Linked DNA regions of Tribolium castaneum. The protein of the gene in region 2 binds, or shares a complex with, the protein of the main gene of each other region. Links are inferred from orthologs where the notes say so. Each region holds a gene or a part of one and is shown on either strand. Other genes may lie near its edges.

Region 1 (4,218 bases), on a different chromosome or scaffold from region 2:
CACTCTTCTAAGTCAACAATAGCGTGTAGTGGGTTGAATGGACGGAATCTGCGTTTGATTTATTTCTTTTTGATGCTTTTGCACACCCATTCCATGCCCTCTCTGACACCGTCGCCTCGGACGGCCGTACAGGCCTGGATTTGCCAGGGTCGGTCTTTAATACTCGGCAAACCCAAAGCCTGGGCCAAATCCGCGGCGGTGAGAGCTTCAGGAAGATCTTGTTTGTTGGCGTAGACTAACAAAGGCACGTCTTGGAGTTTATCGTCGGTCAGAAGCTCGTATAATTCGATTCCGGTCTCTTCCAAACGTTTCTTATCAGACGAATCCACAACATAAATCTAGAACAAGCCAAACTAGAAACAGCCGTTTTTGGGGGCGAGAAAATTACCAAAACGTCGGTATTTTCGAAATAGTTTTTCCAGTAAGGGCGGATCTTGCGCTGTCCCCCTATATCCCAAACGTTCAGTTTGAAACCTTCAGATATGACCGACTTTATGTTAAAACCGGCTGTGGGTGTTATGTGATTAATGTCTTCAGATGCCAGGGTCTTGAGGATGGTCGTTTTGCCCGCATTGTCCAAGCCCAGGAGAAGCAAACGCAATTCGCGCTCAGGGGCGGCGCGAAGCTTCCGCAAAAGCGACAAAAGACCCTAAAAGTTAATTATTAATTGATTTTTATCCAATCTACAATGATATAAGGTATGAAAACTATGAAACCGTATAAAATTAAAGTGACGATATTGGTCAATAAAAAATAAATCCCCTTGCCCCTGAGCAGCAATTAGTAGGCAGCACACATTACACAGCTGTGTAAACTGAGCAGGTATTTTGGCGTCGTAGCCTGTTCTTGTTACCACGTTAAATGTTAAATAAAAATATAAAACGGTCAGATCACATTATTAACGGTTATATGTAATAGAACAAAATTCATACAGAGTGTTTCACATAATTTTATGAGCCCGCGCCTGTAAATTGCCACCAACAATACAGATTCGGAAACGAACTCGGATTACAAATTTTGAAAAATTGTATAGTCATACCTTCAAACATTACAACGTTTTAAGTTAGTTAAGGATTAAAATAAATAGATTAGAATCATGTCAATTTTGTCTCTTGATAGAACACAATTATTATTTCTGTAAACCTACAATTAATGAATATTAATAAAATAGTGATTAGTTTTACAACTACTGTATTTTATTGATCTAGTGTTTTGTGACTTTTATATACGGAGTGTCCGTTTTTCGAGCTCCTCCATGAGAATCTCAATTATTTTAAATTTTTGAATAATTATTCCGATAGAACGAAAATTTGTAAGTTTTGTTTTTAGTTTTTCAAGCGAAAATCAAAAGAACTATACGTTTTTAACTAGGACGCATTTTTTTACAAGGAATCTAAATGTATCATCGTATTTTCCAAGGCGTTGTTGATATCAGAGTTACAACGCTCAACTCTGGTTTTTCTTATTGAAACCATACACATTCGCTTTATGTATTTTTGAAAAATGTTTTTATTCCTGATTACAACGATGTATCACATGATTTGGTCAAATCTTATATGCTGACCAAAATGGAGAAAAAAGCATTTTTGCGAAGAGTGCTTTGGAAAAAACGTCAACAATGTTGTTTTTAAACAAACTAGATTTTAAAAATTATTATTAAAAAAATAAAAAAAAATATTTATTAGTATTAAGTTTTCAATAAACTATTAAAAAAACAGTTACCTTTTTTATGAAATTTTTTTTATTTCATAAATCTGGGGTTAAATTACAATTAATTTACTTTACTAGTTTGTATAACACAACTTTTAGGAATGTAGTCCTAGTTACGAATAGCAGTCGTTATTACGACAGTTAAAAAGGTCGTCTGGAAAAACGTACGCTCCGGAACTTAAAGGCATTGGTAACATAAAAAACAACTTTGTTTTAAATGATATTGAAAACGCTAATTACAATAGTGGAAACCGTTTCTCTGTATCTGCTCTCTAAATCAAGTTATTTAAAGTTGAAATTATGACGTCATAGCCGCCTATCGAACATTTGGTTCAATATTATAATCAAATGGTTTTTGACTTTAAGTGACACTGATAAAATTTATCAAGAAGTTGAAAACAAAATGTAGAACAGAAAAAGGAGTTATTTTTTTATTTTTTGGTCACTTAGAGGGTTCAGTAATAAAAGGATTCTATGAGAGGCGGTTGTGACGTCACGTTTTTTTTTTTCGATTATCTCGCTTATTTTATTTTTCATCGCAGGAAGTTTTAAATGAACGAAATGGCAATTTTGACAATATTTTGGACGAAACAAATCATAATTTCGATTTTGAAATTCTTTTGAATTGAAACTCTCGTTAGGAATGTCGTCATTTATATTGCGATGTAAAGTATAAAAGTGTTTTAACTGTTCCAAATGCTGTGCGGAATTAGAACAAGATTTACAAGAGTTGTGGTGCATTATAAATAGAAAAGATAGAGTTGGGTTGATAAAATCGTCAGGAGTCGTTAAAATATGTTTCGACTATAGAAAGTTGTTGAAAATGTTTTATTATAATAAATAATAACATTAATAAGTAATAGGATTATTGTTTTTATCACTCCTATTGATAAATTTGTTTTTGCGCCTGCAGTTTATGCACCAAACTACACTCGCGTGTATATTTGGCTGCCTAGCCGATTGTATACAAAGTGCCGTAACCATGGTGATTGTTTGACAAGTGTGTCATTTACAATAAGAAATTTATTGTAAAACGCCTTTAATTAGTATTTAAACCGTAGTTTTATTATTTATTATTAAAATCCTCACCATTTGGGACCTCCTCCAGCCGAAGTCAAGTCAAAAAAGCAAGGAAATAGCTGCGAAAAGGGTCAAAGTTGTGAGACAACACCAAACACAAAACTGTCAACGTAAATAACTTAAACAAATCGATACCATGAAAGTGTATTACAATGGGTTCAACCTCCATCGCCAGTTCCCCAGCCCACAAGACTTGGTAGTAAATTTTATCGATCACGTGTACCGGGACTTGGAAAATATCGAGGTTAGCTACCACTTCGCTGTATTGTTGGTTGCGAACGTTGTGGCGTTTCGAGGCGCGAAAAATGAAACAATTCCCGTGGAAGGGAAAATTCGACAAATTTCATGCAACGAAGACAAAGTTTTGGTGCTTTTGACTAATGGAGACTTGTTAAAAATAACGGAATCTGTGATAAAAGTGCCAAAATTGATGGGTTTGGATGACGATGACACCGTTGTTCAAATTTCGACTGGATCCAAGCTTTGTGTAGCTTTAACGAAAAAGGGACTCTTGTACAATGTGCCAAATAAGTTAGAATTTGTAAGCGGGGATATAATTGAGGTGAAAACGGGCCGCGAACATTGCTTACTTTTAGACAAAAGCGGAAATGTTTTTAGCTTTGGTAGGGGAAGGTGGGTGCTAGTGGCCAATTGGGACGGAAGTAATCTTATGTTTTTAGTCGCGGACAACTTGGGCATGGATGTCTGGATGATGAATCCGAACCTAAGTTTATAGAAGCGTTAGGTGGTGTGAAAATTGAGGCTATTGAGGCAGGAGGCTGGCATTCGTGTGCTTTGAGTAAAGAGGGGGATTTATACGTTTGGGGGTGGAACGGAAGTGGACAGTTGGGTTTAGGGGGAAGTGATGATGGGGTGTCCATTATGGCAACGCCTCAAGTCTTAGATTTTGATTTTAATATTAAAAATGTTGGCTGTGGTAATAAACATACAGTTGTTTTGACAGGTGATTGGTTAGTGCTTTAGTTTGATTGGATGTGACGTTTGGTGGTTTCAGATGAGGGAAAATTGTTTGGCTGTGGTTGGAATAAATACAAACAGTTGAAGAACGACGAAAATGAGGTTTTTCGTGAGTTGATTTTCCTGTGGGATTTTTCAAAGGAAGTTGTGAAGTGTCTAAAGTGTGGTCCTTGGAATACGCTGGTGTTGTGTACAGGGTGACTCGGATAAGAAGGGCGGGATGAAATAAAACAACCATGAACATTTTAATGTAGTCCACAGTATAATAAATACTGGTATACTTCAGAATTACATTATAAATATACAATGTGTATGGTATTTTTTTGTATTTTTGTGGTTTTTAAAATATTTTCTGAAAATAACAATTTCCCACAAAGCAATTGTTCAAACATCTAACTTTAATAAAACATGATTTACAAGTCACAGATATTTACGAACAAGAACACGTTG
Region 2 (3,458 bases):
ACTTGTTTAATCATTTATTAATTCCAATATGTACAAATTATAACTGTAAATAGAGCGTAGAGAATAGAAAAATATTCACAATCAATCAAGAGCTTGCATGTGTTGAACATGGATATTGGGATTATTCCTTATATCAAAATTGGGATCATTATCGGTGCTATACCTCCCTAACCGCGACATAATCAACATAAGAACGACGATTCCCAGCACAAGGATAATCCCCAACATGCAATACTTCTTATAAATAGATTTCCCACCTCTCACTTTTGAGGGCCCTCCAAAGGTTATCCTGGAAAAATTGAGATAAAAACAATCCCAATGTTGAAACGCGCTTACCTCCACCAAGTCTTCATTAATTCGCTTGCAGGCCTCCTCTTATACTTGTCTTCATCATGGTCAAAAACCACCGGTTTGACCTCCCTCACATCTTGGAAAATTCGCCTGTTTGAAGACGCCTGATATGCCTCAGCCCCTGTCCTACTGAAAGCCCCTTGATCCTCCACATTCACAACGGAGTGCGACGGATTCGGAGACTTACTCGTTGATACAGACGACGTGTGATTGACCACAGCCTTCACTTCCCTCTCTTCAGACAACTAAAACCCCATATCAAACAAAATAAATAAAAGCTTATTTATACCAATGGGAGCCCCAAACCCGCCCTGGCCCAGTTAACCCCCGCCAACTTCTCCTTCAAGACATCAGCAACAGGGCTGATTAAGTTTGAAGGAGGAAACAGTGGGCTCTTGCACGAAGGGCAAGTATACCCTCGGGGGGCTGTCGTAGGCGGCAGCTGACGTGAAAAATGATCCAAACACGACCAGTGAAACACATCTGAAACTCGCCAAATTGAAACTAGAGCATTGTAGGTAAGGGGGCTTACGGTAACAAGTTAGTCTAATACTGTCCTCCACGTTCAGTTCTTTGCTACACAACTCGCATATTGAGTTGTAGTCGCTGTCTTGTAACCACTGCAAATAGGACTGGACCACGCACTACGCAATTTTGTTAAAAACGATAGGCAATTGAGGGAAAAAACTTACAATTGGGTGGTTTGTGACCATACAATTTTCACAAACACAGACTCGATGTTCGAAGCAAAATTGGTTTGTGACGCGACGTTTTGGGCATTTGCAAAGCCCCATTTCGATTTTTGGGAAAAACCAGATGTACTTTTTCAATAACAAATAAAATACATGGGGGCCACGTAAATGACGTTTGTGACAACAAAGTGACAGATTTTTGACGCACAAGTGGAATGGCGTTCGAATGTTAGTGTTGTGTCGCTTGAACCGAAAGCTGGTCCAGCCGATTTTTTTTTAAATAAAATTGATTGAGTTGAATGTAATTTATGTATTACTGTTTTGAGGCGATGTATCTTTTAATATTAGAAAATATGTAGTTTTAAAACCACTTCTAAGTTTAAACCAGGTTTTAATGAAAAAAATCAAATTTCTAAAAGCGCTTAATTTGCCCAAAATTAAATATTACAAAAATATCTAGAAATTCAGTGACTGAGTGCAATAAACCCATATCAGCCCACAATGGGAGGCACCACCATTGGATATTTAGTTGTCATGACTACCCCAACGAACACAAATGTGACCCCCAGAATATTTACCATTTTGCGTGCAACACTCGCTTGAAGAAACCCAAAAATGGAAGAGGAAAATTCATGGGTTTTCGACTCTTTGGTCGCTTTCCTAAACGGCCCCATCTGGAGCGCGCCTCTGGACAGTTTCATCGAAGAAAAATCGCTGAGTAAGTCCAGGGTCCAAGTGCGTGCTTTTATTTCAAAATCTTACAGTTTTCGAACCTAACGTTACCGACAACGAGGAATATAAGAACATTTTTGACGAGTTTAAGAATTTGGTCGATTTTATGTTGGGCAATTTCATGGAAGACATCGGGATCACTCCAGAACAGTTCGAAGAAGCGTGCAATAAAGGCCACACATATCACGTCAATTTCAACCATGTAAATATTTGATCGCTTTAAATATTCATCGCTAAAATCATTACTGTTCAAGAATATTTTTGAACAAATTTGGGCCGCAAACGACTACGAAATGTTCAAACGGATGATGACCCAAAGAAATGTTGAGTTGCAGTTGGAAGCTCTTGAGCTGATCGAGAGGAAGTATGGAATCACTCCACAGTCGTTTGTTCCCAAGAAAAAGGACGACAAAGTTGAAACTGCGGTCACAATCGAAAAGTCGTCCGATTTCGAAAAGGAAATTCTAAACGAAGTGGCAAAGTCCGTGGCTGTTTCCCCAAACTGTTTTAATTAAAAAATCGAATTGTAGAAATTTTCCAAAAGAGGAAGCCTCGTCTTCTGAACCCGAGACAGAGGTTCAGTACATTTTAGAGGAGAAAGAAATCCTTGAGAAAGCTTTAAAAGAAACAAAAGGTCGCTATTTACCAACTATTAATTGTCACTTACTATTGGGTTGTTTCAGAACCGAAAGTGACGGAAGAAAAACAGAAAAAAGTTGATGTGATTAAAACGGAAACGAAGGCTGAAATAAACTACGACAGAAAGCAGACTGAGGTAAATTTTGGTTGTAGAAAAATTTGAAAAAAAAAAGTTCCCCTTTAGATAAACCCCGCCGAATTGCAAAAGCGTCAAGAATACCTCCGTGCCCAACGAGACAAGTTGGTAGCATTGAAAAAAGAAGCTAGGAAGAAACACTTGGGTTCCGACAACGGCACGAAGGATAAGGCTAAGGTTCGGCCAAAGTCGGCTAAAGCCGCCGAAGCCGTCCTTTCGGGGGAAAAACCCGAGTCTCAGCAGTTGCAGCTGCGCAAGGCGTTGGCCGAGCGGTTGAAAACGGAGGTCGTGTCAAACAAAATCTAACTTTTTGCTTATATTTATTACCTAAATATAACGAGTACATTTTTACATTTCTTTTTAAAAACATTAATTACAAATTAAAATGATAAATAGAAAATGGCCTTTAAGAACTGTATAAAAAATATCATAAGGCTGCCATTTGTGGAAGGCTGGAAGTTGCACGATTGTGCGGCTTCCAGTGACGGGCTTGGGTGATATATTCGCTCTGTTGTACGTTGCTTTGGGTGTTTGTCTTATTATACTAAAGCTAAGTCTATGAGATGTTGAGTCGAGCGAATATATCGAATTAAATTATAATATGTACAGAGACGTTTGATATATCCACATTACGAAATGAGGGCGTTTGATATTTCAAACCATTTTCTATGTAAAATACTGATCGATAAATTAAACTATAGGTTTAAAATCATTAAGTAATGTAGATTAAGAAATTAAATGGACAAAATAAAATCTTTTAAATAGGAATAAACATAATTTATTCATCACAATAATTACAAAATTAAAGTTAAGAATAAAATATTGATTTAGTCTAGCTTTACACTTCATACTGCCACATTTCTATGGAATTAATAATTACAAAATCATTCTAATGTTTACAACACCAA

Evidence for each region. Proteins that work in one complex are often made in the same cells at the same time.
Region 1: the proteins of cilia- and flagella-associated protein 36 (region 2) and ADP-ribosylation factor-like protein 3 are in contact, whole or in part, in a crystal structure (PDB 4ZI3), measured with the Mus musculus proteins. The link is inferred for Tribolium castaneum from reciprocal best matches to the Homo sapiens genes CFAP36 and ARL3. Residues at the interface, in NP_080016.1 of Mus musculus: Glu44, Glu45, Ser46, Lys47, Leu48, Thr51, Glu52, Lys58, Val61, Glu62, Leu65, Glu76, Phe79, Gln80, Cys83, Thr84, Ala88, Lys89, Leu97, Val100, Leu101, Ala103, Glu104, Asp105, Phe106, Thr107, Ile108; in NP_062692.1 of Mus musculus: Leu3, Leu4, Ile6, Leu7, Arg8, Lys9, Leu10, Lys11, Ser12, Arg19, Lys35, Glu40, Pro47, Thr48, Gln49, Gly50, Phe51, Asn52, Ile53, Lys54, Trp66, Ile74, Tyr77, Ser80, Tyr81.

Annotation. Positions count from the first base shown.
Region 1 is NC_087395.1:18,694,937-18,699,154, reverse strand, and holds the start of ADP-ribosylation factor-like protein 3, read right to left. Parts: upstream 2,927-4,218; 5' UTR 2,803-2,926; coding exon 2,800-2,802; intron 650-2,799; coding exon 389-649; intron 339-388; coding exon 60-338; 3' UTR 1-59. Other genes in the region: RCC1 domain-containing protein 1, read left to right, coding at 2,927-3,423, 3,471-3,754, 3,806-3,969. UniProt on the Homo sapiens protein: Small GTP-binding protein which cycles between an inactive GDP-bound and an active GTP-bound form, and the rate of cycling is regulated by guanine nucleotide exchange factors (GEF) and GTPase-activating proteins (GAP).
Region 2 is NC_087396.1:17,347,633-17,351,090, reverse strand, and holds cilia- and flagella-associated protein 36, read left to right. Parts: upstream 1-1,411; 5' UTR 1,412-1,658; coding exon 1,659-1,761; intron 1,762-1,807; coding exon 1,808-1,977; intron 1,978-2,029; coding exon 2,030-2,256; intron 2,257-2,305; coding exon 2,306-2,409; intron 2,410-2,458; coding exon 2,459-2,550; intron 2,551-2,598; coding exon 2,599-2,856; 3' UTR 2,857-2,901; downstream 2,902-3,458. Other genes in the region: zinc finger protein-like 1, read right to left, coding at 82-289, 337-596, 641-834, 884-995, 1,044-1,145. UniProt on the Homo sapiens protein: May act as an effector for ARL3.